4 linked regions of the Saccharomyces cerevisiae S288C genome follow. The gene in region 3 interacts genetically with the main gene of each other region. Each region holds a gene or a part of one and is shown on either strand. Other genes may lie near its edges.

Region 1 (8,980 bases), on a different chromosome or scaffold from region 3:
GGAAAGGCGATGCAGTGGCCAAATTTCTTTGTTCATTTGTGGCGTTGGGTCAATGAGTCAAAAAATGAAAAAAGTCGACAGACGTTTTTCAAAAAGCTTCAAGAAAAGAAGAGAAAAAGTAAAAGCGTATTGGTAAAAAGAGTAAGAACAAAAAGGAGCACAGGCAACCAATATAAAGATGTCCAGTTCACAACAAATAGCCAAAAATGCCCGTAAAGCAGGGAATATTTTGAAAACCATCTCAAACGAGGGCAGATCAGATATTTTATACAAAATTCACGATGCCCTGAAGGCTAATGCGCATGCCATTGAAGAAGCGAATAAAATCGATTTAGCTGTTGCCAAAGAGACTGGCCTAGCGGATTCTTTATTGAAACGTCTCGACCTATTTAAAGGGGACAAATTTGAAGTTATGTTACAAGGTATTAAGGATGTAGCCGAACTAGAAGACCCTGTTGGCAAGGTTAAAATGGCCAGGGAATTAGATGATGGCTTGACGTTGTACCAAGTAACCGCTCCAGTCGGCGTTTTGTTAGTTATCTTTGAATCCCGTCCAGAAGTTATTGCCAATATTACCGCATTGAGTATCAAGTCTGGTAATGCTGCAATTTTGAAGGGTGGTAAAGAGTCTGTGAACACGTTCAGAGAAATGGCAAAGATCGTTAACGACACCATTGCACAATTCCAAAGTGAGACTGGTGTTCCTGTGGGCTCTGTGCAATTGATCGAAACCAGACAGGATGTTTCCGACTTGTTGGATCAAGATGAGTACATCGACTTAGTTGTTCCTCGTGGTTCCAATGCCTTAGTCAGAAAAATCAAGGACACTACAAAAATTCCCGTGTTGGGTCATGCGGATGGTATCTGCTCAATTTACTTGGATGAAGACGCAGATTTGATTAAGGCAAAAAGAATTAGTTTGGATGCAAAGACTAACTACCCAGCTGGTTGCAACGCTATGGAAACGTTGTTGATTAACCCAAAATTCTCTAAGTGGTGGGAAGTTCTGGAAAACTTAACTTTGGAAGGCGGAGTGACTATCCACGCTACAAAAGATTTGAAAACTGCGTATTTTGATAAACTGAATGAGTTAGGGAAATTGACAGAAGCAATTCAATGCAAAACCGTTGATGCTGATGAGGAGCAAGATTTTGATAAGGAATTTTTATCCTTGGATTTGGCTGCCAAGTTTGTTACATCTACAGAATCGGCCATTCAACATATAAATACACACTCTTCGAGACATACCGACGCTATTGTAACGGAAAATAAAGCAAACGCTGAAAAATTTATGAAGGGTGTCGACTCCTCTGGTGTTTACTGGAATGCATCAACTAGATTTGCCGATGGTTTCAGGTACGGTTTTGGTGCTGAAGTGGGTATTTCTACCTCTAAGATTCACGCCCGTGGTCCAGTTGGCTTGGACGGTCTGGTGAGTTATCAATACCAAATAAGAGGTGACGGCCAGGTTGCTAGTGACTACCTTGGTGCTGGTGGTAACAAAGCTTTTGTTCACAAGGATTTAGATATAAAGACTGTGACATTATAAAAATTTTTAGGATAAAGCTAAGTTCCATGTATGAAGGACGTGTATACATAGTTCAGTAAAGCCATCAAATAAGTACTCTTGTCAACTCATTCTATGGTGTGATAGTTAATTGCTTACTTGTATCGCTATTAACGACTTTTTTTTTCTTTTGGCGGAAGCTTCAAGACAAAAATGCGATTTGAGCTGACTCGAACACTTATTAAACCAGACGGAAAAGCACGACTCATACATATCATAGGCAGTTTTTACTAGGGCTCCGAATACTTTGAATAATAAGGTTGATTAAGTTTGTGTGCTTCATCCAATTAGCTTTCAGTTTTCCTTATTTAAGCTTCTGATTTCGGAATCAAAAGTTGAGCAACGTTATAGCTTGCTTTTTCGGAGGAGAACGCTGTTGTTCACATTTCAACACCAGAAATTGCTGATTTTTACTCCTACTTAGTATACATTTCACTAAACAATACGTTTTACCATGGCATTTTCACGTCTTACATCTACTCATCAGTCCAATCATAACGGCTACAGTAATAGCAACAAAAAAGGACAAAGTCTTCCACTAACCCTTTCTATTGATGTAGAATCACCGCCATGTGTTCTTTATGGGTCTGCTATGGAATCCTCAGGTGCTGTGCTAAGTGGACTTTTTACTGTGACGGTTGTCGATCCCTACAGTAGTGCTGAAGATAAATCTTTAAAGAATACAGAATCTAATGTGTCGACTACTTCTAAAAGCCTAAAAAGAAAGAGTACATTTGGTTCTGCACTTTCATCTAGATTGTCCAGCTTGTCAGCGTCGACGTCAAATATCTCTCCTTCAACATCTTCTACATCCATATCGCATTCTCCCACGCCTGCTAATTTAAGAATAATGGCTGGTTATACCAAGATCACCATTACGTCGGTAACACTAAGTTTGGTACAGAAGATCCATTTCCATAAACCCTTTGTGCCTAATATTTCCTCAATGCAAACCTGTATGAACTGTAAAACAAAGATTACAAACATGAAAAGCTGGGAAATTCAGAGTAATACCCAGGATCTTTCTGTTGGAAGCCACTCTTACCCATTTTCCTATCTTATACCGGGGTCTGTCCCATGTTCTTCATCGCTAGGTGCTACGGCTGAAACCCAGGTCAAATACGAACTTATCGCTGTTGTGACGTATATAGATCCTCATAGAAATTCCTTTTCTTCCGGTCATTCTACTCCCAGGAAAGAAGGAAGCTCTTCTAAGAAGCGGTTGTTGCAACTAGCGATGCCCATCGCCGTGACTCGAAGTATACCGCGCGGGCCTGATAAGAATTCTCTAAGAGTATTTCCTCCTACAGAGTTAACTGCTGCTGCTGTTCTTCCTAATGTTGTATATCCTAAATCTACTTTTCCTTTGGAGATGAAATTAGACGGTGTTTCTTCGGGGGATAGGAGATGGCGAATGCGTAAATTGAGTTGGAGAATTGAAGAAACTACAAGAGTTAAAGCACATGCTTGTCCAGTGCACAAGCATGAATTGAGGCAGTTAGAAGAGCAGGTTAAAATAAAAGAGTCAGAAAAAAGTAAAAAGCCACGCAGTCATATTAAGCGTTATGGTGAACTAGGCCCACAAATCCGGGTTGCAGTAAACTCTTTAGAAAATATGCCGTCGCAAAGGCTTCCAGGCGAGCCCGGTCGTGAACAAGCACCTAATTCTTCGGGTCCAGCGTCAACTGGTAATGTTGGACTTGATGATGAAAATCCTGTTAATGAAGATGAGGAAGACCAACCCGGTAGCGAATTCATCCATCCCAGTGACGACGCTTTGCGTCAGGAGTTACTAATGCAGCAACAACGCGCAAGACAACAACAACTTCAACAAGAGCTAAAAAACAACAGTAGTTTATTTACGGAAGAGGTTCGGATAATATCTAAGGGAGAAATGAAGAGTGGATGGAAAACCGATTTTGACAATAATGGAAAGATTGAGCTAGTTACAGAAATAGATTGTATGGGACTTAATTCAGGCGTCTCTAATCCGGTAATGCATGCATCGACACTACAAACTCCTTCCACGGGCAATAAGAAGCCCAGCATCAATGTGGCTTGCGATATACAGGATCCAAATTTAGGTTTGTATGTAAGCCACATCTTGGCAGTGGAAATAGTTGTTGCAGAAGAAACATTGCAATATGCCAATGGGCAACCTATACGGAAACCAAACTCCAAAAACAAGAAAGAAACTAATAACAATACGATGAATGTTCATAATCCTGATCAACGCTTAGCTGAATTATCTCCAATTTTTGCAAATAGAAATACACCGAAAGTACGGCGCATGGGGCCTGAAGATATAACACCGGTGAATAGTAATAAGTCCAACCATAGTACTAATAAGGAGAAGGCATCTAACGGTGCTAGTAACTCTAATATAGTGAGTGTTCCCACTGGTGCAGCACGTGTTTTAAGAATGCAATTCAGATTAACAGTCACTGAAAGATCTGGACTTGGAATCTCCTGGGACGAAGAAGTTCCTCCCATTTACCAAGATGTCGAGTTGCTCTCGCCACCATGTTACGAGCTCTCTATAAATAATGGAATCAAAAATAAACTTTATTCAACAATGAGTACTCCTGTTAGATCAGAGGATGATTTTGTGGGCGGCAGCGATGAAGATATTGGGAACTATGAGAGCCAAGGGCTCGAACCTGGTCCTAACGTACAGGAAGTAACGATCACACAAAATAAATTAACGATACCACCAACCGCACATCACTACCAGCCTGCTTCCTCTTCGCAAAGATCCCTTACCACAGTACAGTCACCACCACTGGAAAGTGTTGTTAGTGTCCAGGGTAGTGTACCTTTTCGTGGACATGTGTTGACACCACATAGCACAAGAGATATCAGAATACAAAACTTTTCCGATTTTCTAGATTCCAATAGAATAACCCAGTAGATTTTATAATATTCGTTAAAGGTATTTACCATATATTTTTATCTTAGATACCTGAAAACTACAAATCTGATCAATAAGCAAACCCTGACCATGATTTGATGCATTTCACAGATAACTACATACAGGCATTGTTTAACACTTGAGCATTTTTTTTCTCGTATTTTCTTAAGGCTGGACTGGATTAATATCTTCATTTCGTCGTAGGTACATAGCTTTGTTATGATAAAGAAGAAGGCATAAGTCGAAAAAGATATTTCGCGCATCAATTAACATTTTTTGTGTGGTGAAGAAAAGTTTTTGATCATTCTATATATCTATGTGTTACGTATATCTTCAACAATCTGCCACGTAGGTAGCCATGCCAAGTACGCGTAATCATCTACTGGACCATCCATCCCAAAACTAAAAGGAGAGAAATAAAAAAATCCAGCGATCACGATTGATCCGTATACAATATAAGCTCCTAGCCTTAGAAATTTTCCAGTGTTTCTTGTAGCCCAACGTTTGGTAATCATATCGAAGTAGTATGACAAGATCATTAAGGCAAAATAAAGGGTGGGCAGATAGTGGTGAGCGTATACAACTCTTGACATCACTACGAATGGCATATAATGTAAAAGCCAAGCAAGCAATGGATAAAAGGCTGCCATAACGAACACGTCACGTTCGACTGGATCGGATAGGATAACACATTGTCTCTGCCATTTCAGAGTTAAGAATATAACGTGTATTATCAGTGCGCAAACTGCGATGCTTGAGGGCCAGACGGACGCAGGAGATCCTAATAAGAAGTACTTTATAGATTTTTCACTCCATTCGCATAATCTTACCCCGACGTTCAAGGTTGGCCATTGCCAGGCAGATGAAGCTATACCATCAAACTTTTCAGGGTTTGGTACCAAAGCATTATTGGTTGCCATCATTGCTGAATTTAACTGCATGAAATTCCTGAAGAATGAAGTCTTCGGATATACGAAATCTTCTCCCTGTGGCAATCTTTCATTTTCATGTGTTTCGATATTCCACCAGGTTCTCTTATCCCTTTTGGAGGCGTGTTTTAAACAGACAACTTCACCTTGCCTGAAACCCCATTCTGGTAAATGTTTACCTGACTGAGCTAAATAGCAACCCAGTATAGAATTTTTAATACGGAAAGATGTGGATAGCGGGTGTAGTAGTGTTGGATCTTCTTCCCCTACTTGTTCCACGATTTCTATAATCCAGTTATCTTTGTAGTCACCTAAGTCTACATCTCCGTAAGCAGAAACTTCATATTCACTTTTCGATATAGGCGCTGGGACTTCATGGGTGTGTAGATTCTTGCCTGTTAGGCGATGCATTAATCTATACATTTCGCCACCCTTTACAAACTCAATTGTCTTGTTCTCAGCATCAGTCCAAGGCTCTACTCCTCTGATTCTTTGAAAAAACCATTCATTGTTAGCATCACTGTAACCATAGACAGTTACTTGCTGTTGCTCAGAACCTTCTGGGAATGGTTGGACATGAGAATGTAATAAAGCGCCTCCCAACGCTTGATTTTTGATGGAAATAATAGAAGAACCCAAAGCAACATCACGTGGTCCCTTACCAACTTTTGTACCGTTCAGACTGGCTTGAAATAATGATGGCATGGTAGAGTCGCCGGGCCCTGAGTTGGACAGCAGATCAAAATGGATTTTGAAGCATAACAAAAAAACGCAAACAGGAATGATGATAAGCCCGAATATTCTTGCTAGCCAATGGTTGACATAAACCTTCCAAGACACCGATCTATCACTTAGGAGATTCCATAGTTCACTGATGGTGTAAATTCCTACTACACTGATGATGAAAAGACCTACCATTTTCACAGATATAGCGCAACCCAAATTCAACCCAGTGAGGCACAACCATAGCCACCACCTAGCCGAAAAGGGAGACTTTCTCATAGTATGGAACTTGGCAAGGCAAAAGTAAGAAGAGACGGTAAAGAAAAGTAGCATTGAATCAAGGAGAATGAACTTGCCTAATGTTGCATACGAATTCTCAAAAATTACTAGAATGGTAAATAGCCAAACACTCAGCCTAGAAAATCCGATAGCCCTTCCTGTGAAATAGGCTAGTGGCACACACAATGATGAAAACATTGCTTGAAATAACCTCATTTTCACATAATCGATATAGTCGGGATAAACCTCACCAGATGGGAAGTCCCAAGAACCATTGTAGCCAGCCAAATAACCAGACAGTCCAACAAGCATTTTACCTAAAGGTGGATGAACATCATGGTAAAATTCGTGTCTCAGATAGTAAGAGCCGAACTTACCAAAATGAGCTTCATCCCAGACCACATGATTATTACGACCAATCTTGTACATTCTAGTGAACATGCCCAGTACCGTGAAAATGATCGGCATAACTATGGTATCCAGGTGTGATACTGCACTCTCGTTCTTGACTTTATCATACAACTCGGCATCATCCTTTAAAAAGTTGTCAGCATCCTCGAGTTCCTCTTTTACTATTGGCGTTCTCCATATCAAATCATCGTCAGTACTTTTTTCACTGTAGCCCGTCGCCACTCTGTACGGCATTGTCTGTTATTTTATTTGCCGGTATTTGGAGCACACAAATATTTGTTTTACTCTTATGTCGAAAGGAAGAGTTGGAATGCCCTTCTTTAGAGATTTTCTATTGTACACCGGCCAGGTGGCCTATTATATTTGCCTTTCCTCGCGTCGCGATTTTCAATTAAAGGGCGCGAGTGCCTAATCTAGATCTGAGCTTTGTTCTTAAACGAGTTCTTACAGGGTGGTAACTCATTCATTCTTTACATATCCATTTTCGTTAACGCAAACATTCGTCAAGTCATCTGGAATACTAACCCGGGACAGGTTCCTTTTAGCTGTAATGCCTCTAGGATGATTACTATAAAGAAATGTAACATACTTACAGAAAAGGGAAGTATTCTCTTAACAAGGCAGAAATTAAGAGAATACTACTTAGGAGAGTAAACCTGTTGAATTTTTAAGCCGCAGTAAACGTTTGTATTCCTTAGTTATGAGGAAGTTCAAGTAAACAGATTACTTACTTTTTTAGTAACATCCGGCAACCGTACCAGAATTATTACATTTATTCCAGAAGCATTTTCAAAAGTTTATTGCATTGGTATTCATTGGTAAGATCCATTCATTTGGAGAATATGCTTATGATACTTAAAAATTGGAAAAATAGCCGCCATCAACGTTTTAGGGTTGCTCAACATTGGCGTTTAGGGTTTTGATAAAATGTAGGGCTTTTTAAAATATCACTTGTATACTCTCTCGTTCCGCTCAGCACGCGACCGTTTGAGCAAAACTAGCATCTGGTACACTATAAACTAGTGCTCGGTTCTCGTTCATTAGTGATGATCGTACTGTATCAGGCTGGTGGATTAGTCGAAATCACCGGGAAACAAATACCGACCACTTGTGGACAACATTGTGACATTATTTGCTAAACTGTATACTTCGGAACTATCATTCCAATTATGAGGTTGATATCCAAAAGAAGAATCAGATTTATTGTGTTTATTTTGTTCGGCGTCCTCACTGTATTCGTAGTATCAAGACTTGTTGTTCATTTTCAGTATAACCAAGAAATAAAGTTCTATAAAAAGTATTTTCAACAGAGGAAGGATGGGCTTCACGAAATTTACAACCCATTAGAAATCAAGCAAATACCCAAGGAAACGATAGATGACTTATATACCGCCCGTTTAGATAAAGAGTTGAAAAACGGTGAGGTCATCGAGTGGTCCAAGTTTGCATACGTGAATTATGTGACTAATGCTGATTATCTTTGTAATACGCTGATCATATTCAATGATCTGAAACAGGAGTTTGAGACAAAGGCCAAGTTAGTTCTTCTGATATCTAAAGATCTGCTAGACCCAAACACTTCCTCAAATGTGGCTTACATTAGTTCACTCCTTAACAAGATTCAAGCTATAGATGAGGACCAGGTAGTTATCAAGTTGATAGATAACATTGTGAAGCCAAAGGATACTACACCTTGGAATGAAAGTTTAACAAAATTACTAGTATTTAACCAAACAGAATTTGACCGTGTGATTTATCTTGACAACGACGCAATTTTAAGATCAAGCTTGGACGAATTATTTTTCCTACCAAATTATATCAAATTTGCAGCTCCATTAACATACTGGTTTTTATCTAACAGTGATTTGGAAAAATCATACCATGAAACGCGACACCGTGAAAAGCAACCAATCAACCTCCAGTCGTATACAAAAGTGCTGACTAAAAGAATTGGGAAAGGTCAGATGATTTATAATCATTTGCCGAGTTTGCCGCATTCATTGTACTTGAATTCTAATAACATAGCTCAGGACATTATAAGTTCTACATCATCTTTATCGCCGTTATTTGATTTCCAAAGTAGTAAAAAGGTTGGAAAATTAAAATTTGCTTCTAATTTAATGGTTATTAATCCTTCAAAGGAGGCGTTTGATGAAATTG
Region 2 (7,550 bases), on a different chromosome or scaffold from region 3:
TCGATTTTCATGTTGTTTAATTCGTTGATTTTCAATTGCTTTTTTATCTCTTCAGGTGACAACATTTGTGTGGCATTAGTTGAATTTGATATTGACTCATTACTGAAAAGCGATGAAGATCTTCTTGGCCTCATAAGTGAATTTCCACTACTACTCCTACTTCTGCCAAAAATTCCGCTAAGACCACTACTTAACGTTTCTTTGGCAGCCAAGAATGAACTAGAGCCCCCGCCAGAAAAATAATAGCCATTATTATTCGCTGAACTGACGTGCTGGAATGATGCTTTATCAAATTTTATGTAAAAGCTTTGGAAAAGACTAGACAATTGCAGTACTGATAGTGGCCGTACGTACTTTGGCTGCTTTAGGTCATCAATAAAAATGTCAATTAATTTTGATAATTCTGGAGGTAAATTGGTGACAGTGTTCAACGCTTCGTCAATTTCTTGTTTTGTCAATATAGGAGACTTATTGTTTTCTAGCCTTTCTCCTGTTGTAGAGTTTTCATCACCATCACAGCTACTTCTCTCATTGTCATTTTGATCCTCATGTAGATTTTGTTGAAATTGCATGCCGCCAGTTGTGTTCTTGTATGATTCCCTGATGGATTGATTAGGGTCAAACCTTGGATTGGTTATCGGAGGAGTGAATAATTGTCTAGCCATTTGACTTTTATTGTTAGAGGGCGTACTTCTTTTTTATCTGCTCTTCTTCTTGGCTTCTAAAAATACCTTTTGCTCTAAGGGGAATGATGATTTTATGAGTGTCTATAAAGCCAATTCTCTTTCTGCCCAAGATATTAAACACCACACCAATCCGAACAAAATTCAATAGACGAACAACAGTAAGTTTTAATCTATTTTTGCTTCAATGATGCGTTTGGTTGGGTCTTTACTGGAAATCAAATAAGGCTCGGTTATTTGCACACTTTTTTATCCGGGAACCGCTCTTTTACGAAAGCAAATTTCAAAATGTATGTAATACGAAGGCATTAAATTATTCAACAACGGCGCTCGGATATGATTTATATTACACGTCTAGAACGATTAGCAGATAGTAAAACTAGTGGCACGTTTAAATGACTTTTTCATTCCATGAGTTCCCGGTTTGCAAGAAGTAATGGCAATCCCAACCACATTAGGAAAAGAAATCATTCTCCAGACCCAATAGGAATTGATAATTATAAAAGAAAAAGACTAATTATAGATTTAGAGAATTTATCCTTAAATGATAAAGGGCCCAAGAACGGACATGCAGATGATAACAATCTTATTCATAACAATATAGTATTCACAGACGCTATTGATGATAAGGTCCTGAAAGAGATCATCAAGTGTTCCACAAGTAAACGCGGCGACAATGACTTGTTTTATGACAAAATATGGGAACGTTTGAGAGAAAAAAGGCTACAAATAATAAAATGGGTAGATTATAAGGAAATTGCTTATCTAAGCTGGTGGAAGTGGTTCCATAATCAAATGACTTCGAAATACACTTATGATGGAGAGGCTGATACCGATGTTGAAATGATGGCAGTGGATACTGATGTGGATATGGATGCGTAACTTACTATTATTATAATATACCTATGTACAGGGCGGTTATTTATTTACACGTTCGTAGTATAGCATATAAGCATATTTCTGTTCATTCAAGACAGTTGAAGCGGTAGATTCCTTTATGGCGGTATCAGATATTTGCCAATAAGGATACCGCAGGGCGTTTTTGACTTTTTTATATCTGCTTTTTTTGTAATCATTATGTGCAACGTTTTGCTCGCGATTCTTGTTAACTTCATTGTTGACAACTGGTGCTCTTCTGAAGGAAGATTCATCCTCCTTCCCGAAACGAATTTCAGTCTTGCGTCTGTAACACATATAGTGTCCACTCGAATGAGAACCGGTGTGTTTCACAACACTTTTCAAATTATATTTGACTTGCCTGTTTTCTGTTATTGTCCCACTCTCAGCCAATGTATATTCAGAAAGTGTTATTCTTTCTCCAAATTTGACATTGCAGGGATTTCTAGAATATGTAATACCATTGAATGTGGATCTCGATAAGTGAACAATTAATATGTCTGGCAGTTGTACTACTACATCTTTTTTGATGACCTTTCCCTTTATATTAGATACCTGCAAATTGCCCTTTGAGTAACGCTTGACGTACTGTTCTACTTCGAATGGTAAATTTTCGTTAATTGGGGCTTTAGTGGCATAATTTTTCAATCTGTCCAACATTAAAATTTCATCCGGGGTACAGTCCTTGAAATTTCTATATTCTTCATGGTTTAAGATTGCTCTTATTTGGCAGATCAGGCATGAATAGTCGTCTATGATTTCTGTTTCATCGTGTGCTAGAATATTGGATAGATTCTCTGATGTTTGTTGTGGTACGGACAGTTCGCGGATGAAAGTCTGTTTGTATGATGGTTCTGATAGACCCTTGCATTTAAGGCATACTAGAAACTTGGAAGTCTCGCCCTCAAATGGAAACTTTGGTATATTCAAATTACATATCTGTTTACTGTAATCGATCAATTTTGATCGTTCTTCCTGTAATGTTTGTAGTAATATTAATGTAAATTCATGTGCATCATTTTGTTTGGATGAGATCTTTGATTTAAAGATGGACTCTAATGTGTTTATCACTATTTTCGGAGAAATTGACGTCTTACGATCTTTTACAGATATCAAATCCAAAATTAAACTGGTAAGACTTTCGTGTAAGGGGGCAAGTGAATTAGACGAGTTTTCAAGTCGACTATGCCTTGTAGTGTTATCAACTGTAGGATTGTCGCCTTTTGCATTATTTGACAGCTTAGTTTCTAATTCTAGAAGGACCGTTCTTATCCGTTTCAAATATTCTACAAATCGAGGTATTCCAGCCAGGCCTTGCAAAGATGATGTTATGAAGCAATCATTCCCACGATTAATTAAGCCCACTGTCGTGTACTTCCCAATACTCTGCTTAGAATCCCCAAAGACTAGCGCACTTAGGCTGGGTGCAATGGCATATAGAGAAGCAGCAATTATCAAACCACATGAAACTTTTTTAATCAGTGAAGTCGGAGATTCTGTTACATTTTTTATCCAAGACATATTGTGCTTGTAGTAACTGCTGTACCTTGCATATACTGTTTGGGCAGAAGGAGAAGGTCCAATTAGTTGTTGGAGGGTATGGCGCTAACGGTCAAGTGTTTTATAGCTGGACTTTGCTTTCCCATTAACTCAAACGTGTATATAAATTGAGATTGAAGAAGAAACTTTGAATCTAGGTTAACTGGGTGCTATTGATTTATTTTTTTTATTTCACCCAAGTATATTATTTTGTTTTCTTTTTTTATTTCATTTTTTTGGGGCCAATATAGTAAGCAAAAATCCGGAGAACTGTATTGAATATCGTTCTGAGAAAACTAATTGTAAATAAGAAAGAAAAATATCAAATCATAAGGGAACCGAAGTTAGTTTTTCTTTGATAATACATAGAAAGTACATAGGTAATAAAATTAGATCAGAAGCAAGAAGTTGAAAGGGGAAAATTCCTTCTCATACCTTTCTTTGCCATTAAGACGCTCCCTCTCGTTCAGGAACCATTACTACCGAATTTACTAGACCACTCCTCATATTTTTGTAGAGATTCTGACGACACGCTCTTTTTTATTGTCAACAGAGCATTCTGAAAATCTTTTATTTCAATTCCTCTGATTTTATCAAAATCCGCAAACATCAACTTATCTCCTAAATCTCTAATAGGTTCCATTGCCGCTTCTTTGGCTAATGACGTAAGATCAGAACCAGAAAACCCCTCGGTCATTTCTGTTATTAATTCATAGTCTAAATCTTGCAGGCTATTTTTCTGCTTGGCCATTAATCTCTTCAAATGATATAGTCTAGTTTCATAATCTGGTAAAGGAATGTATAGTTTCCGTGAAAATCGTCTTCTTGCTGCATCATCAATCGCCCATGGCAAATTCGTTGCTCCTAAGACAAGTACTCTGCTGTCAAGCGTATTATTTCGGTCTTCCGATTGTGCAGTAGCACTAGATAGGGAGGACCACTGAATAAGAAGTTCTGTTTTAATTCTCCTCGAGGACTCATTTTCATTATCAGAGCGAGCTGTTAACATAGAGTCAATCTCATCTATGAAAATAATTGAGGGTGACAATTTTTTGGCCATGTAAAACAATGCTCTAACCAGCTTCTCAGATTCACCGAGGTATTTCGATAGCAAAGAAGATGCACTTACACTAAAAAATGTGGAATTGGACTCTGTCGCAACCGCCTTAGCAATCATTGTCTTACCTGTACCTGGTGGGCCGAACAAAAGCATACCTCTAACAGGTTCTCTTAGCCCTTTGAATAAGTCAGGCCGCAGAAATGGGTAAACCACTGCTTCTTTCAAAGAATTCTTCGCATTCCGTAAGCCTGCGATATCCTCCCAATAAACTTTTTCATCCGTAACAAGAATTTCATTAAGTATCTGTTCACAAGCGTTTCGATCTACTCCCTGCACTGATTTTAATATATCCTCCTTTCTGGAATCGAGGGATGAACTAGCAGAGCTTTCCTTATCGGGTGTACCACTTTTAGAACGCATGGGTTTGGATTCAGCAGGTACCGCTGTCGCTGAAACGAGTACTGGTGAACTAGGCTCCAAATTTTGCTCATTCCTACGAGAAACTTTGTTAGTATTGGATTTACTAGCCTTCAGCTTGCTATTTGTGGGTATATTCCGTGAAGACTTGCTGTTTTGCCTGTTAAGAGTAGGTGATTTTATAATCGGTCGATTAACTGTTGGCTTTTTGTAGTCATACCTTTTTTTCAAAGGTGGTGTTGGCTTATAACGTATCTGAAGTTCATTTGAATGCGATCCGTTGTTACTCACTTTTGAATGATTTGCCCCGTTTTGATACTGAGACCAGGCTAACTGCGCAGCCATACCTATTTCTGCTGCCTCCATTGATTTTCTTACTGGCGTTCGTACTCTTTCGCCTGAAGTCCGTACAACGTCAAGTGATCTTCTTTTAATTAGGGAGTTGTCAATCTTTCCAGAAGATTTGCTACTGGAAGAGAAGTTGTCGAGGCTAGCCCTTGATTTGTAATTTGTTTTCCTCTCATGTTTCAGGGTTGATATACGTTTTTTCTCCGCTTGTTCTCTATGTTTGCGTTCTTCTTCCTCTCTCTTAACTCTCTCCTCCTCCAACTTTTGGGCCACTTCAAATTCGACCTTTTCTTTAACCTTTAACTCGATCAATTTTTCCCTTTGAAGTTCTAAGTCCCTCTCATACTGAAGTTTTGCTCCTAACTTTTTCTCTTCTTCTAATTTCCTAGCACGTCTGATATTATCAGCCTGTTTGTTGATTTTAGCCTCCTTTTCGTCAGCTTCTTTCAATTTATCTCTTTTGGAACCCATTCTCCAAAGTTTTGGAAAACGCAAACCATTTCCTGTCCCAAGGCCCAAAACGGAAGAGGAGGATGACAAAGAGGGACTACCGTTTCCTTCGGCCATAAGCGTTTCTGCTTTACGACGTGCGATCCTTATATCCTGGCCAAGAATTTGGAAATCCTCAATGATGCTCCTCAATTCAGGATGATCAACTACAAGATTTCCTAACCCTTTCTTTAAGGTATAAGTCTTTTCAATTTTTCGTAGACCTTCATTGACGTATACCAGTAAAGTGTCTAAGTTTTTGTGGATTTTCCCATACGTTACTGTGTCCTTATTACCTTTGCTATTGATTATTAGGTCTGCTAGGTTTTTATATTGATTTTTGACAACAGAGTAAAGCAATTGCAAAGACTGCGCTAATGTGAAGTTCTCAGGTATACTAAACTTTTCATGTGCCATTATCCTAGACTTTTTTGTGTTCCCTCCTCGGACTTTTCTTCACCCAGGGTCTTACCTCTTTTGCTAATGAGATTAATGTTTTTTCCATCTTTCAAAATTTCGGATAGCCCATCTATCCAGCGGGTTTTCTCAATTCGCCAGGGTCTTTGACAAAAAAATTAAGTTTTCGTAACCCATATAGTCAGTCATGAGAATATATATTTAGTCGTTGATGGAAAGACATTTAGGAATTCCCACATAGGCATACATCCGCATAGGTATGTACACACATAAATCTATATAAATATTAAATAAGTATATATATTTTCTATAAAGGTAGTAATAACCTAATGACATTTCTCGTTATCGTCGCTTCGTTATTTTGTTGAAGGAACTATTGTCGCGGACAACCTCAATAAACTTAAGATGGTGTATTATGTCGCCTTTTGCAATACTTTAATTTCTCTTCTTCTGTCATTGATCTAACGTTCCAATTTTTAAAGTTTTCAAAAATACAAATTTCCTTGTTATTTTTCGTTAAATTTCTAAAGTACAATGATAGAGAATTCAGAGTCAGACCGTTATTTATCCTGAACTTTTCTAGGTCCCCTACTAAAATCTTCCGTATATCCTCCCTCGGTTGTTGAGGATTAGTAAACCTGCCGAGTTTTATGCCACGATCACATTCCGTTTCAATATAATCCATAATAATTCTTCTAGTAGGAAAAAAATGTGAATCTTCGCTAACCTTCCACCTTCGCCAGCCATAATTTTCAATCAATTTTTTTATTGAAGATTTACCGTTCAGACCAATATACCACTCCGCATATAGGTCCCATATTGTTTTATTTTCTCTGGACAGCTTGTATTTGATTGCCTCGTTTGGCCCCGCCTTCGTATCCTTTTTATTTATAATTTCAAACTTAGAAGAACTCTGCGGAAATGATGGAGCTGTCTTTGTCACTGTACCACTTGAATTTGCAGCCTCAGTAGAATTATGAATATTAGAAATTGGTACTGGTTTGTCAGCATCCGTACCAAGCGGATTACTGTTTTTACCATTTTTCTCAGGATCTTTCGATTCTGGGCTGTTATCATTGGGCTCCGACTTACTTGACTCTGGCGGTTTCTCCCTATCAACATCATCACCAGCTACCTCGGTGGGACTTTCAGGCATGCTAGTAGTGGAGTCGTTGTTTGGAAGACGAGGTCGTTCAGCTAGTTTTGAAGAAGATGATGGAGAATCTTCATTTACCTTCTTAGAGTTATTTTCCGTTGTTGAACTTGAGCTACCACCAACTACAAAATCTGGAGAATGCTGAAACTGCTGAGGTGAGCGAAAAGATTCCGTGACAGCTGTGTTAGCCAACGTCGAAAGGGGTAATCTAGGGCTTGAAATGGATTTTGTAAGTAAGGAATCAAGAGCCGTCTGAGACGGAGTTGGTTTATCGTCTAGTTTAAAGCGTTTGCTATAGGGAGACTCACCAACGGGTGATGGAGAAAAAGGACTGCCTGTTGCTGCAGAGGCTATTGAACCTGGTAACGGTAGCTTCCTCTTCTGTACTATATCTTGCGGTTGCGGAGCCAAGGTGCCAAGCATCGGCTGTATAGAATTACTTAAGCTCGGGAACATGTTAATTGGCGCTAGCGCAGGGCTATTAGTACTTTGAACCTGTGCATGTGATTGTCCTTTCGGACCCCTTTGATGTGTTTGGGCTTGT
Region 3 (7,138 bases):
GCTCATAACCAGAATGAACAGGCCGCATGCATTCTTTAGCCAACTTTCGATGAAAATACCCACTATGCAATGGTAAATTTCCGAAACAAAAAATTATACTTCAGTGTTCCCACAAAATAACGATATGTTTCTTTTCATTTTTCAATGAAAGCATGATTTTTTCCCTTCCAATGCCAAAATGCTAGTCCTATAAATGAAAAAAAAAGCTTTCTGCTATAAGAACAGCAAGGGGCATTTCAACTTACACATAATAGAAGGTGAGATAAAGACCATCGTGAATCCTAATAGAAACTGCGGGTTTCTTAGGATCATGGGTCGCGCAAAACCGCCAAGTTTACCATCAAAAAGCTACAAAGTTCAATTTACCCAATAGAATTCTAACGCCAAAGATTTGTAGTGATTCATATGAAATTTTCTTTATGCATCCAGTTATTACTATTGAGTTTCTCTCAAGATACATTCTCCAAAAAAAAAGCCTGTTCTCGCACAAACGACCTTAAGAAAGGTTTAAAACAGCTGTCACATTACATTATAGTAGATAAAAACACGAATGGCATTTTCTTAACTTGCAGGTGTACTCTCTATAGCATGTTTAACATATTTTCACCTCTTTATTGCAAACACTTTGGCGTTTCATATTCTGTCCATGTATATGCACCACAATGATTTTATTTTCTTTTGTATGCATTTTGTGACGATTTGACAACTGATGCATCATTTCGTTCCATCTATTTCGCTGTTCATGGCTTCTGTCTCTTTCTCTGTCTTTTTTAGCCATCTCGCAACTAGCTGGGAATGTTCTTTTTTCAGATCCGAGAGTTTTTGTTGTAAAACATTATTTTCAATGGTTCCACTAATCAATTCGTCATTCAACCTTTCCGTATTCTTATTTTTCAACGCAATAACTTCTTTCAATCTTCGTATTTCTTGCTCCTTACTTTTCAGTTCTTTTTGTAGAATTGCCAGTGTATTCAATAAAGCATCGTCATGGCTGACAATGTTGCCACCAATGGCGCCACTATTATCTTGAAACAACTCATTTAAATGGGCCTCCTTGTCGTTTCGATCTGTTAGTCTACGAATTAACAAATCATCCATGCTATCTGTTTGTGGATTGCTTCTTTCCTCCTTTGCTTTCTTCCTTTCTGTTATAATGAAATTGCCCATGGAATATGCGCCCTTAATACAGATTCGCGCAGGTTAATAACAAAAATCAACGTTAAATAAAGGTCAACTACAAACAGAATAAGTAAAAGCGAGCAAGTGTAGTAGCAATTTAGCACAACATATAAAACGCTATTATAATGGATGTTGTGCAGCAGAAACAGGATAAACAGTTGCAGCATCAAACACAAGAGCAGCAGCAGATACGAGAGGACCAGCAGGAAGTCCCACCCCAACGTCCACGACAACAAAACAGATGGAAACCCTGGTGGAATTCCACTGCCGACGATGAGCCAAACACGGGAAGAATTGCAGAATATCCTAATGGACAAGGAAGGAGTAGTCCGACAACGGATTTTCAAGATAGCGTGAACTCGAATAATGACAATAAAGGGATATGGTCTAAAATCGCTTCTTTTGCAACATCCAGATATAGAAGTGCCCCAATTGTTGTTGATGATAATACCCGCTACTCTCAACTAAACACTGAACAAATCAACTTCTTGGAAAATGAGGCTAAGGATATAATTTCAAAAAAGTCGAAATCATGGTGTTGGTACGAAGCAATTCCACATATATCAAATTCATCAAACATAATTGATTCCATAGATACCCCAGGAATAATCAGTGTCTCTGGTACAGGATCAGCCAAATGCCCATTGCCATTAAACAAATATCCTGGGGAGGGAGGTAACCCTGGGTATAATGTATTTATTAATGATTCTTTAATCCTACCATCAGATAACCCTTTGAATTTTCTGCACGTCCAACCACTAAGAACTAAGGTATTGAATACTATCAAAAATTACTATAACTTCCCTAATGAGCAACATCTCTATTTAAGACAAAAAAAAACCGCATTACTGAAGGATAAGAGAATTATTATAATATCCGTCGTGGGGGATTTACCAGAAAAGTATGAGCAGCGCTCATTAGAATCACAAAGATCGGCTTATTATCTTTCTAGAAAATTGTCACAAAATCTAGCGCAAGAACAACCTCAAAGAGTCTTGACCCTATCGTTCCAGTGCCCACTGCATAATCAAGATTTAATACCTACATATAAAGAATGTGTAGAGTTACTGAACCACTGGGCTCATCTTTTCAAAGAGGTAGATTCAATTTTTTTTGTGGGCGTTTATCACAGCGTTCCCTTAACTTTGCTATTAGCGAAATATATCGTGCAAAATAATGAAGTTCTAGAGTTTGATGAAAACACTACAGTGAGTGTATTGAGTTTCCAGTCATGTTTACAAGGCTATCGATTTTGGGACCACAGCACTGACTTTACTAGCAATAGTTATAATAACTTGGGTTCCAATTCCAGTACTAACGAAAATGATAGTAATGATCATGATTCAAATAATGATTTCACAACGAAGAGCCAACAAATCAAAGAAAAACAGTTATTTCAGGGCATTGACAAAAAGCAACAAGACACATTATCTAAAATCAAAAATTATAGGCGGATAGATTCTAGTGAATCTAAACTAGTTCAGGATGCATTGGATTGGCTCTTGTTCAATTGGGATACGTTTCGACTGACATTTTTTGGTAAGCTTTATGATAATTTTATGACAATTTCAGAAAAACTTGCTATAGATTATAATCACCCTAAAATCTTGAGAAATTTATGGTGCAATGGGAAGTACATGGGCATTGATTTAAAGAATGCTAATAATTTAAACCTTGATACCGATGATGAAGCAACTAGTAACATTAATGACGTCCATGTAAGGACCCCTAATTTTGAATCGAGATTGAAGATTCCCACCAACAGACTTTTCGAAATAACCTTATGGGATATTTTGATGATAACGGAGAATTTAGGATATAAACAATTTATTCCCATAATTAATTTACTAAGTCCTTTTTTTATTTCAAGGTCATTTAATGATTACACATTGCCTCCAAATATTAGGAAACAGTACCAGAACAGCAACAAAATCTGGCTTCAAGAAATGGACAGTAAGTGGAAAATGAATGGTCATCAACTCAATTACGACCAAAGGGAGGGTGAAAGTCTCGGTTCATCATCGGAATCATTATTGCCAGAGAATATTTCTACGGTAAAGGATTTTTTGCAGTTTGTGCAGTATCAAAACGAAAAATCTTCGGATTTCGTAAGGATATATTCAGACATTTATGATGACGATAAAGTCTATAAATGCTTTCTGTACAATACAATATTCACGAAAAACCCATTAAGTCGTAAGCATTTACGTTTAAACATCGACCTCGACACTCCTACAAGCATATTGAATACTGTCAATCAATATGATTTGGTATGGAAAATTCATGATTCCTTCTCCAAATTGATTCAATTGAAAAATTTACCGCAGCGAGAGATACCACATGCGTTGAGGCTCTCCATCTCATTAAACTGCTTCTTGGATAGTACCACGAGTACTTCTGGCCCTGTTTTTCAGAGGGACACCGTGGAAGCTTTGAGAAGATTAACAGAGATTTGGCGAACTTACCAGGATTGGTCTCCACCAACAAGGGGTTTGAAACACCTACGTGATATCCTGAGCGTTTTAGCCATGTATGACAACCCCAAAAACTTGATTAATGATGTTCGACGTACATAGTAGATTCGTATATAGCGGACCGCGTAACATATTATGGTATTTGTATAGTGGGTAACCCGCAGAGTAGGCTGGAAAGTATTCGTGAAGAACATAAAGGAAGCTGGCAGAAGTTCTTTTCATACACCTCTACTTCCAGAAGCCATAATAGCAGCAACGCTGTTTCTGCAATATAACTTGTGGAAGGTCTATAATAGGAAGAACATGTCTTTCACTGAGGATCAAGAAAAAATCGCGCTAGAAATACTGTCAAAAGACAAGCATGAGTTTTACGAAATTTTGAAGGTAGATAGGAAAGCCACAGATAGTGAGATCAAGAAGGCATACAGAAAACTAGCAATCAAATTGCATCCTGATAAAAACTCTCATCCAAAAGCGGGAGAAGCTTTCAAAGTAATTAATAGGGCATTTGAAGTACTAAGCAATGAGGAAAAGCGCAGTATTTATGACAGGATAGGTAGGGATCCTGACGATAGACAAATGCCATCCAGAGGTGCTGCTTCAGGGTTCCGAGGAAGTGCAGGTGGGTCTCCAATGGGTGGCGGATTTGAAGACATGTTTTTCAATTCACGTTTCGGTGGTCAAAGAGCTGGACCACCAGAGGACATATTCGACTTTTTGTTCAACGCAGGCGGCAGCCCATTCGGCGCTTCACCATTTGGGCCTTCTGCTTCCACTTTTTCATTTGGAGGCCCCGGTGGTTTCAGAGTTTATACTAATAATCGTGGTGGCTCACCGTTCATGCGTCAACAACCCCGCTCAAGACAGCAGCAACAACAAGCAGAAGAAAATGCAGTGAATTCGCAATTAAAAAATATGCTCGTTCTTTTCATCATCTTTATTGTTCTTCCTATGATTAAAGATTACCTGTTTAGTTAAACACAATATTTTTACTGTCATTTTTTTATTATTTTCCAACGTTAGTCAAAGTTGTACTATAAAATAAAACTACAAGGAGCAAGCAAAATTGAAAAAACGCATTTGTATACTAGATGACATTTAGGTCATTCCTTCAGGCTTCCTGGCTATGTTTTATTTTGTTCCACAGTTTACCAGAAGGACATAATGGTATTAGAATTTTAATATATCGAGGAAATTAAATCAGACAGTATAATACTTATAAACATCTTTATTTTCTGATAACTAATCATAGCATTTACGCCATACATTTACTTTTTCTTTTGACACCGAAAGTAATCAAGCCACTTTTATAATTAGAGTTAGTTTATAGATAGTATTTAAAATTTGTGAAGATTTCCCATGCGTTGTGCCTTGCTTTCTCTCAAAATACATCTTGTTAATTTTCTAATGTGTGGATGCCGAAATAATATTCGACTCAACAAATCAAGTAAGTCTTCTAAGCTCGCTACTAATTTCCAATAAAAGGTATATATATAAAAATGTTCTCAATAATGTAATTAAACAAGATCACGAGAATTACTCCAGATCCTTTAGCCTTGCCTGAATAATCTGGTTCACATCTTCATCTTCCACATTCCTCGATGGAAGCTTCAGTTTCTTCGTCAGTTTAGTAGTTATATTGCCGCCAATACTGTCTTTACTGCTTTGTGTTTTCAAGGATGGTCGCTTGATTAACTTGCCACTAGGTAATACCTCGTATCGTTCAGAGCTCTTTTTAGAAGAGTTTCCAAAGAAATTTTTTTTTGAGGAATGGTCTACATTCCCATTTGACATTGAATATATGCTGCTGTTATGAGTTTTTGCACTTGCACGTGAATTAGTTCTTGGCCTTGAAAGAACTTTGTCTGTGTACCTTGTGAAAGTACTGGGATCTTTATCCCACGTCCATCCTTGCCTCATTTCGCTATAGGCTCCTAGTTCCAGCTTCTTTCTGATATCACTTTTTTGTTCCAGCTCAGCAAAAATATCAGAATCTGATGGCCATATCATAACTTTGAATGTTTTGTAAACTATATCTAAAGTGATAGGTAACAGTGCCAACACCAAGCTAGTACACCAGAATGTAATGTCTTTACCAAAATGATTGTAAAAGCCATATGCTACATCATATATTTGGTCAGTATTATTCAAAATAGGAAGGGCACAACACCACACTAACCAACCTCCACAGGATAGAACTACAGAAGTAAAAGCCAGCCAATTCCTATTGTGCATTTCAACAAATTGGGATTTAACGTTAATTAAGGCAACAATGGCTGTGAAATTGATGAGACCTAGAGGATACATAGTGTTATCTGAAAGAGAACTCATACCCCACATTACAACATTTAAAAATGTAATGATAAGAGAATTCGTAGTTGCCAAGATAACCCACTCCATGAATATTAACCAATTAAAACCTTGTGAAAGGCGCCCGTACGAATATAATTCAGGGACTGTTAGTAGAGTCATTGGTTTCAAGTCTTTCTCAAACATACCAATACATAGAACCGGTAGTGATGTGAATAGAGTATTGAACATGGACAATGACCATGGCTCATATAGAGAGGAGCCTGAAAACATTGTATATCTTTGATATATCAACTGCGTAAAGTAAAACGTAATTTCTTTGTAAAACGTGCAAAGCATAAACTTGGAGGTGCGAATATAGTTATAACGCCCATGAACAAATAACAATTTCAAGAGAAACCGAAATTGGCCAATAGAATAATCAGATACTCTAGATGCTTGCAATCCCTCCTTACCGGCTATTCCAACACCTATATCGGCAGATTGTATCATGGCAATATCATTCGCACCATCACCTATTGCCAACGTGACTAAGTTTGGATCGGTATTTCTTATGTTGGAAACCATAAGGGCTTTTTGAGAAGGTGAAGCACGGCAACATATTACCGAGTCTGTTTTAGTGCAAAGCTCAACAAATACAGACATGTATGTAGGATTTCCTTCAAACATGGCCATCGTGGCACCGTCAATTACAACAACGCAGTGTGCTATGTTTCCGGAATCAACTTCTTGAGAAACCGCATTCATCTTTGATATAATATTTTCATCAGTAGTAGTTAAAATGACTACCGTAGAATAATCTTTGATTAACATACACGAATACCCTATATTTATAGCCGTTTCCCTTTTATCCCCTGTTAGCATCCACATTTTTATACCGGCTCTTCTGATCTTTTCTATAGCTTCTGAAACGCCGTCTTGTAACTTGTCTTCGATTGCAGTTACCCCTAACAGATTTAAACCATCCTCGATTTCTGCACCTGCCTCATCGACTTTGATTTTTCTATCAGTAAGGGAGGTTTTGGCTTGGTGATAGCGTTTATTCCAATTTTCATACTGCCCAATATCGATCCATTTGTAAGCATAGACCAGAGTTCTTAAGCCTTCAGTCGAAAACTCATCGATGGCTTGCAAAGTTCTTTCAATAACATACTCTTCATTCAAAATTAACTCAT
Region 4 (8,842 bases), on a different chromosome or scaffold from region 3:
CAGTTAAGAAAGAAATAAGCCACCTCGATGCTGTGGTGAATAATTTACGGGAAATTTCTTGGCGTTTCTGTAAGTGACATGATCCGTTATAGTGCCGCAAAGCCAAAAATGTCTTATTTTTAGGTTAGCATCTTTTCAGCCTCGAAAAATGCTTGTTCAGCAATAATATATAAAAGTATCAGTAAAACAACACTTTTTGTTAGATGAACAATTGATTTTGTCTAGGTCCTTGTACTTTGAGAAATATCATCAAAAAAAAAAAGTGCGACATCACAATGAGACATCAATACTATCAACCACAACCGATGTATTATCAACCACAACCGCAACCTATATACATACAACAAGGGCCGCCGCCACCAAGAAATGATTGTTGTTGTTGTTGTAACTGTGGCGATTGCTGTTCAGCAATTGCGAACGTTTTATGTTGTCTGTGTCTAATTGATCTATGTTGTAGCTGCGCTGGCGGCATGTAAGCTGTGGTTTGCCTTGTAAGCTGTGGTTTGCCTTGTATCATCATGAACGCTTTTCTTCGTGGAGTAGTCTTCCTATATTGTTTCCGGTGGTTACCATCAAGATAATTTACACACACAAAATTTTCCGCTGTACGTTTGCGAGTGGCATAACGAATAATATGTATCCTATCATTTCAATGAATCACAGCTGAGCACATTTGAATTTTATTGTTAAATGGAATGCCGTTAAATGTATTATGTAATATCCATAAAAGTTCACACTGATTGTTCACTTTTATGAACCTCTAGGATTAAAAGTACGTCTTTGTTAATGAAGCCAGCAAAAAATGGAGAACATCAGGAACAAAGCGGCATAGCTTTGATCTTGCCTTGATGCTTCTAAAAAAATATATACGTTTGTAAGTATATACTCCAATTTTCAATAGTATTTTAATGAATAATTTTTATAAATAGAGGTAAGAGATTAGACACGTTATCTGGAGGTAATAACTAAGTAAATAAATAACAGCTACGTTGCTCTTTTTGGAAAAAGCATAAAACTCAGCCATCTAAGACAACATACTTAAAAAAGTAATAGTCTTTGATACATTCCTCGTGTAGGACAAAAGCAAAAATTCTCTTCCGTTTATTTTTCATGAAAAAAGCTTGTATCATATACACATATCTATATATTTGCATATTATTCTTTTTCGTTTTTTAGAATTAGCCATATGTTCTCGATAATGAGTAAACCTCTTTCAATTAGCAACGTCCTCCTTTGAAGACTCCTTTGAAGCCAAATGGGCTTCCAAAGATGCGATTTTTTCTCTTAATTCTAGATTTTCTTTTTTGGCCAACTGCAGTTCAATTTGGGTCTCTTTTGATCTGCCATATGCTAACATCTTGGCCATTTCTTTGTTCTCGTTTGTTAAGTTTTCTAATCTTACCACCATTTTGTGAGCAATCGATTCTGCATCATACCTGCCATACTTAGTCACTGAATTTGTTGGATTTAGCGCCAGTGCAGTTAATATACTTTCCAGATTTTCTTTCGTCTCTGCTAACTCCTTTTCCTTTGCATGCAGTGACGATGACAGTTTTCTGAATATCACTTCCAAGGAAGCTGGCAATTCGAAAGTTTGGGGTATATGGCAGTTTTCCTTCTCATACTTATGCTCATTCTGCTTGTAGTTTAGCCCCTCGTTGAAAATTTTCTTTAGCCTTTGAATTTCGTTCTCGAGTGATTCGATTTGACTTTCCTTTATTTGTAGTTCTACTTCCAATGCTTCCATTCTGTCATCTTTATTTGAATTCATCTCATTGCTGTTGACATTATTCATTGAGAGCGCTGTCACATGATTAAAAGGAACAAATGAATTCTTGAATGCCGTACTATTGATTGAGGTTTTAGCGGTCATATTAGACATTGATGACATCGAGTCATTAGGATTCCCATTAGTATCCTTGTTATTTGTCATATTATTCATTGGATCCAGCCAATAATCATTAGCAGTTGCCCCATTCATGATATTGTTATGATTGAGAGTATTTCTCATAGATGCTTGTGGTACATTCTGGTAATTATAGGTATTCATTGATGGGGGCATGTTGAAATTTGTTGTACTGTTCAAGCTATGTTGACCCGTTAAGGGACTAGCCGACGAACCTTGAGGAAGCATGGAATTATTCATTTTACTCGCCTGACCTAAGGTGTTCATTAATCCCGGCCTGGCATCGTTTCTTTCACCAGATTCGTATAGGGCTTGTTGCTGTGACTGTTGGTGGGGATGAAATGCCAAATTGTTAAAGGACGTTTCCAACGAATGTTGGGGATCATAATCATAAGCCATGTAATTCATTTTTACAACAGTATTCCAAACGAGCCGTGTATGCAAAAAGAATGAGGTCAAATCAAAAGATCAAGTACCAAGCCAGCTGATTCTCTTCTTACTAAGTTTGACTATCGTTTACATTTCTTGCTTGTTGTTTCATCAAACAATGTACTCTTTTCTTGTTTTAAATGATTTTTTAGCGGCGAAGGTAACAGCAGCAAAAAAAAAAAAGAAAAAACATTGCAAAATAGCTAATGGAAATGGATTTATTACTGAAATATGTAGAAATATTTAACTCGATAGATTTGATCATACACATATAATGCAAAATATATATATATATATATATATATATATATATATATATATGTGTGTGTGTGTGTGTGTGTGTGTGTAAACGTTCTTTTAGCATCTTGTATAGAAATAAATATAACCATTTTTTTTCATATCTTCAATGCTGTCGGCAGCAACTAGTTTCTCATCGTTATAAAGAACCCACTTCCATTTGTCTGCCACTAGTTTACGAATAAAAACAACATAGTGACCAGAATGGACAGAATTTCCCTTATGACAAATAACTGCAGTTAAAGCGTACGGTTTAGCGGTCGAATATCCAAGATCCTTTTTTTGTTGCTGTTCTTCATTTGGCACTTCAGGTTCGGGAAATGTTCCATCATCATCCATGTTGTTAAATACCCATTCAACACTACGATTAACATCTCCGTTGTTGAGTATCAAGGCTTTACGACATAAGTTGGGATTTAGTCCCATGGATAACATTGAAGTCAATGATACCTCATCCACTTCTCTCTTATCTTTCTTGGGGACATTAGGAGGCGGGACAAAGGGATCATTTAAATCAGGGTCATCCATATGCTGGAATAGCCAATTCATAGCGCTCTCAGCGTCTTGGTTTCCGGTGTTAAATAGGGCGCGCACGCTAGCATTTTGAGTAAAGCCCATTTCAATTAATTGAGAAATACTGCATTGGTTTGGCGTAAAAGAGCTACGGTTTTCGTCCTCATCAGGCAATAAGTTTTCAGTTTGAGGATCAAATCCTTGTGATAAATAAGACGAAACATCTAGCATATCATCCCTGTCTATTAAACCTGGTAAAGAAAGCTCATTACTTGTCTTAACAGGAATCCAGTTCTGTAATCTAATCCTTATTGGGTTCAAAATAAGTGTTTGAGGAAGAGATTTGAAACCAGGTTTTTTATTTGCGGTAACCTTTTCCTTACAATTAGCACATTTAAATTCAATCGTCTGCCCTTCAAAATACGCCTTGATTCTCTCTAACATATCTTGAGGTTCATCATTCTCCTCTAAGGGAATCTGTATAGCCTCTGTGGGTTCATAAGAATATTTAACCTTCCCGCAAATGTTACATTGGAGCCTATCCTCCATCATAAATCTAACTAAATCGTTGGGATTTGGAATACCTGAAGAACTACTTGAAAAAAATTTCTTGTCTAACAAGTCTAAAAGGAAGGTTAGAAATTCCATCGCATCCTGTTGTCTATTGGAACTGAATTCCTGATGATTTTGCCCAATGCATTTCTTGAAAGTAGTAGGTTTGATACCATTTGGATATAGTTCGGGTTCACATTTCATGGCATTGAGTAGCTTGATCCATTGGCACTTTAAATTATTGTCCGGATATACAACATCCAGTGGAAATTTACTTCCTAGAAAATCCAAGGACCAATTCGGGACGCCACCATTCACCAAGCTTTGTATAACCGAATTTAAGTAACAGGAATTACCCAAATTGATCAGACCACAGCCATAATTCTTACTAGCGGATAATTTTTCAAATTCTTTACCGCTAGAATCGACCATTCTAAATTGCCAATTTTCGTTCTGTTCCACTTGTAATTGAACTAGAGTCTTTTCATCCGCAATCTTTTCTTGTATGTTAATTCCGTATATTTGTAGTGCACTGCCTAAATTAACATTATCTGGAAATCTAGTTTCGTCGTCACATGCGTAACAATACAGATCATAGGTTGAAGAGCTTAAAGACCCTAATTTGATAGCTAATGGGTGATTATTATTACTCCGATAATGATCCAAAGCATGCGAGTGACCATCAATCCCGATTTGTTCCCTGCCACATCCGATATTACCACAATGTAGGCATAACCAGAGATTTTGAGTCAAATCACAGGAAGAGCATTGGTTTAAATTCACAGTATTTTCGGGCTTAGATGGAATTTGAAAGTTTTCTGTATGTGGACAGGTGCTGATTTCTAACACCCAGGAGTTCTTCTTATCCTCGAAGTCTTGTGACTTCGCCTTTAATATCTTTTCAATCTTCTCCAAGGCCGTAGAAGAAATGTCAGAGTCTGTCGACTTCGAAAGTACGGTCCTGGGAACATTTTCACCATTGAACCTTTGTAAACTCCAAATAGTGTTGTGGGTGTCGTCTTCTGACGTCTCAATTACCTGTAGCTTTATTTTTTTGTTGTTATTATTTTCTTCTACATTTTCTTGCTTAGGTTTCTCCACTTTAGCAATAGTTAAATAATTGGAATGTATGGTATCGCAAGCATATTCTGTGACTCGGATATGGAGTGGAACATGTCTGTTGCACGTAGCTTGGAAACAGTTTAAGCATATATTCAATGAATGTTTAGGTGATGCATTGAGGGCCAATGGTTCATTATAAGGGGATTCAAAGCAATAAATACACTCATCTTTTGAAACGACTGCAGGAACGTTAACGTTTTCTAGTACTGCTTCTGCCATTTCTGAATGTGAGAAAGACTTCGGGCTCTCTTTTTGGATGAATTTACCTGTCATCTCTACTGCCATTGCAAGTCGCTTTTCACTGTGATTTCATCAAGTGATAAATTTGATCTCATTCCAAACGATGTCATTTTTCAAAGGCACATCAACTGTTATAAATTATATCCTATAGCCACAAGCAATTATTAGTTTATGTATTGTGTGTATATTTATGTAACTCTATCCTCCATGATATCCTCCTAAATTTTCTGTCCCCTTGCCTCCAGCTTATACTATTATTAACCGAATAAGGATATAAATAATCATTCAAAGGAAGCAATACTTTAGTATACCGAAGAAACTCAAACTGAAAATTGTGAGAAAAAAAACATGGAGGAAGAATGAATCAAAAGAGGCCATTAAATAAAAGGGTAAATGTATGTAGTAGGTCCAATAAAGCTTTTCCACCACTTCTTCAATAGTATTTAGTATGCCTTCTGATTTCCCATTACGTCTTTTAGCTTCCTTAGTGGTGGGTATGTACACCATCGAGCTTTTATGTTGTGTCATTTCTTCCCCTTATGATATGTTCCACCTTTGTTCTTCCGGTTTCTACACTCTTTATCTCTAGTACTTTTAAAATGGTGTCATTTCTGTCAAATTGCGAGCACTATTACTCTTCACTTAACCGCTTCTCGTTAAGCGCGTCAGGAGTAAACGTCATCTCGCACGATATGCTTAATGCATATGATTTGAGTTACTATTGTTCTATCAATTTAGTTTTTGAGGAAGATATACGGATTGTCTGCGCCTCTATATGTAACAATGTATGTATATGATTTTATATGTGCTCTATTTATCGAATCATTTCTCGCTTCTAAAGACTGAGAAAAAAGATCTCCTTTTCCCGTTACTGCCACCACTACTGGATGCACTACTTGCCATCGCTTCACGACGGACCCTTTCCAAATCAAGCGATTGACGGGCCCTAGCGAAGGATTTTCTCATCTCTGATGGAGTTGAGGTGCTAATAGTAATGCTGCTATTGCTATCCTTATCCTTCGAATGCCGGTATCTTTCCAAATCGTGCCTTTGCTTGGAACCAGTCCTGTGTGTTTCATGCTTGCCATTTGACCGGGTTGACAGTTCGTGACCAGTACTGTGGCGCTTATTCTCAGTTATTGCGGTGGAAGCATGAGGTGAAACTCTATACGAGTGATGTGAATTTGGTGCTGGCGAGTCGTTTTTATTTCTATGCTCTTGAGTTAACGTTGGTGAAGACAGATTTACTTCCTGGAAATTCAGATCCAATGACTGCCGCGGTTGCCTTGTTGATACGCTGCTGAAGTCCTTGCTTTTGAATTGATTAGACTTACTAGCATCACTTGATCTTGCCTGGTCTTTATGACCTCTTTCATTATGGAGTGGTCTTCTTTCAGCTGTTTTTCCTCTCCTTGCATCATCCAAATCAATATCAATGCTTTCGCTGGAGACCATACTATCTCCCAATTCGTCTGTTGAATAATTGTTCCTCTTACTGGAACCTTTGCGTCCAGAAAGCTTAGCTTGTTGAATTGATGCAGACGATGAAGACGATGAAAAGGAGGAGACAGCAGCACCAGTATCATCTCTTGATAAGTCCATCTCATTCAAACTTAAATTTAAAACGCCATTTCGATTATTGTTCGAGCCTTTGATAGTTCCTGAACCGCCGGCATCTTCGATACCGCCAGTTTGAGGCTCATTTGTATCTTGGAAAGATTGCTTTCCTGCATCTTCTTTTAATGGAGATAGTTCAATTAAGAGAGCTTCATTTTTAGAGGATGAGTGCATTGGTTCATTTGCAGAATTTCCTGCAAGAATTGGAGGTTCACCCCCCTGAGCATTTCTCATATCTTCTGTGGTATGATTTGTTCTATCAGAGACGTAAGTACCATTATTATTTGCATTTTGAATTTGCATTTGCTGTTGGACTTGCAGTTGTTGCTGAACTTGCATCTGCTGCTTGGCTTGCATCTGTTGCTTTGCCTGCATCTGTTGTGCCTGCAATTGCTGGGCTTGTATCTGTTGCGCTTGCTGCTGATTCATGGAAATAACAGGTCTCACCATTGGAATTGCTGGGGAATTTTGACTTGGGAGATATCCTGACTGGGAGTTCGTGGCGTAATTTTGAGAAATATTCTGAAAGTTGACTCTTCTATTACCACTATCTCCAGCAATAGTTCCACCCAACTGCATAGGTTTATTGGACCGATCCCTCCCAGTGTAGAAATTTCTTTGGCTATAATTAGCAGGTCCTTTGGGTTGGTCCTGTTGTTGCTGCTGTTGTTCAACTCTAGATTGATACTGAGATTCATCTGGAAAGGTATTCCCTTGTGTACCTGTTTGATTTTGAGCTTGCTGATATCTCTGGCCTTGCTGTTGTTCTTCCAGGAAAAAGTTACTTGCGTCATTGCTCAATTCATTCGTAGAATGGTATGCAACATTCATTTTTGGAAAGGGATTATTCGATTTATGTTGTTTCATCTTATTAATACCAGCAGTTTTCTCGTTCGCCAAGGCTTCGTCTGACCCGATCGTTGCTGCACCATATGATGTGCTCTTCATTGATCTGCCACCTGAAGAATAAGAGCTTGTGCTCTTTTGCCTCTGTGGTAGTGATTGGGTATTCAAACGAGGACTTTGTTCAGAAATAGTCGGATCACTTGATTGTTTGACCAATTCTTTGTCCAAATAAGTATCTAATTCGCTCACGCTTGGATAATATAACTCTCCAGGAGTTTTATTTTCAAAAATTGATTTGTCCTCTATACCTGGAGACTGGATTGTATTGATTTCTTGAGGATTATTGGCTGTACCAGAACTGTTAGCATTCGATGTTGTTCTTGACGATTTATCTTCGGACAGGGTAGACTTCCTCTGATCGGATTGACTTTCTTTCTCTTCTTCAAGTTCTTGGCCGACATTTTGAGATGGTATTCTAGAAACAGCGGCATGACCGTCACTAGCGTTCATGGGAAGTTTGGATGAGATTTCAAAAGAAGAAAGAAACATGTCATTCAGTAAGTTTTCTTCTGAGTCACTCAATTTATTGTTCTGCATAATTTTCTTTTGTTGTAGCTGGTACATTTGCAATTGAACATTTTGTAATTTATTCTGAAACTGCGTATATTTAGAAAAATTATAGGCACCTTCCGCATACTTATCCTCGATTGGAACTTCCACATTTAAAATCTCACATAAATGGTATAATACTTGATAAATGTTCGGTCTCAAATTTGGGTTTTCCGCCAACATGATAATGATTAAGTTGATTAGTTTTGATGAATATTTGTTGACAGGAAATTCATATTTGGAATGTAATATAGCAAATTGACCTGTCATTTCAAAAGGGGTGGTGAAAAATAATAATTTGTAAAGGAAAACTCCCAAAGCCCATATGTCTGATTTTTCGTTAATGGGCAGACATCTGTAAAGGTCAATCATTTCAGGGGACCTATACTGCGGAGTAGTATGCACATAGATGTTTTGAGTCAAAAGAGCAATATCTTGATGAGTAGTGACAATTGGGAAACATGTCGACGTGGACCCAAAATCAGCTAGCTTGAAATTGTTTTTGGCATCTACCAAGACATTTTCAATCTTGATATCGCGATGGATCAAGGACACAGGAAGGTAGTGCATTTGAGAGATAGAAAGAGCAACGTCATACATAATTTTCACAATTTCAGCTTCTGTCAGTTTCGTTGACAATCGTTGGTTCATATAATCTAGCAAAGATTTGTTTGGACACAATTCCATTAGCAAAAGAACCTCAAATCCTTG

What was found.
Region 1: mutations in ATG16 (region 3) and PMT3 together harm fitness more than expected from each alone (negative genetic interaction), as found in Saccharomyces cerevisiae (2 studies listed by BioGRID).
Region 2: mutations in ATG16 (region 3) and YTA6 together harm fitness more than expected from each alone (negative genetic interaction), as found in Saccharomyces cerevisiae (2 studies listed by BioGRID).
Region 4: mutations in ATG16 (region 3) and UBP14 together harm fitness more than expected from each alone (negative genetic interaction), as found in Saccharomyces cerevisiae (2 studies listed by BioGRID).

The regions. Positions count from the first base shown.
Region 1 is NC_001147.6:914,104-923,083, reverse strand, and holds PMT3 (dolichyl-phosphate-mannose-protein mannosyltransferase PMT3), read right to left. Parts: upstream 7,055-8,980; coding exon 4,793-7,054; downstream 1-4,792. Other genes in the region: PRO2 (glutamate-5-semialdehyde dehydrogenase), read left to right, coding at 179-1,549; LDB19 (Ldb19p), read left to right, coding at 2,022-4,478; GNT1 (glucose N-acetyltransferase), read left to right, coding at 7,990-8,980. UniProt on the Saccharomyces cerevisiae protein: Protein O-mannosyltransferase involved in O-glycosylation which is essential for cell wall rigidity. Forms a heterodimeric complex with PMT5 and more rarely with PMT1 to transfer mannose from Dol-P-mannose to Ser or Thr residues on proteins.
Region 2 is NC_001148.4:414,063-421,612, reverse strand, and holds YTA6 (putative AAA family ATPase YTA6), read right to left. Parts: upstream 5,851-7,550; coding exon 3,586-5,850; downstream 1-3,585. Other genes in the region: guanine nucleotide exchange factor MUK1, read right to left, coding at 1-665; YPL071C (uncharacterized protein), read left to right, coding at 1,095-1,565; putative ubiquitin-specific protease UBP16, read right to left, coding at 1,602-3,101; transcription regulator GCR1, read right to left, coding at 6,251-7,550.
Region 3 is NC_001145.3:573,762-580,899, forward strand, and holds ATG16 (Atg16p), read right to left. Parts: upstream 1,168-7,138; coding exon 715-1,167; downstream 1-714. Other genes in the region: CVM1 (Cvm1p), read left to right, coding at 1,305-3,755; type I HSP40 co-chaperone HLJ1, read left to right, coding at 3,957-4,631; aminophospholipid-translocating P4-type ATPase DNF3, read right to left, coding at 5,190-7,138. UniProt on the Saccharomyces cerevisiae protein: Stabilizes the ATG5-ATG12 conjugate and mediates the formation of the 350 kDa complex, which is necessary for autophagy.
Region 4 is NC_001134.8:350,980-359,821, forward strand, and holds UBP14 (ubiquitin-specific protease UBP14), read right to left. Parts: upstream 5,039-8,842; coding exon 2,693-5,038; downstream 1-2,692. Other genes in the region: MNC1 (Mnc1p), read left to right, coding at 276-476; MUM2 (Mum2p), read right to left, coding at 1,214-2,314; TSC3 (Tsc3p), read right to left, coding at 5,345-5,587; serine/threonine protein kinase AKL1, read right to left, coding at 5,882-8,842. UniProt on the Saccharomyces cerevisiae protein: Required for the adaptation to the presence of glucose in the growth medium; mediates the degradation of enzymes involved in gluconeogenesis when cells are shifted to glucose-containing medium.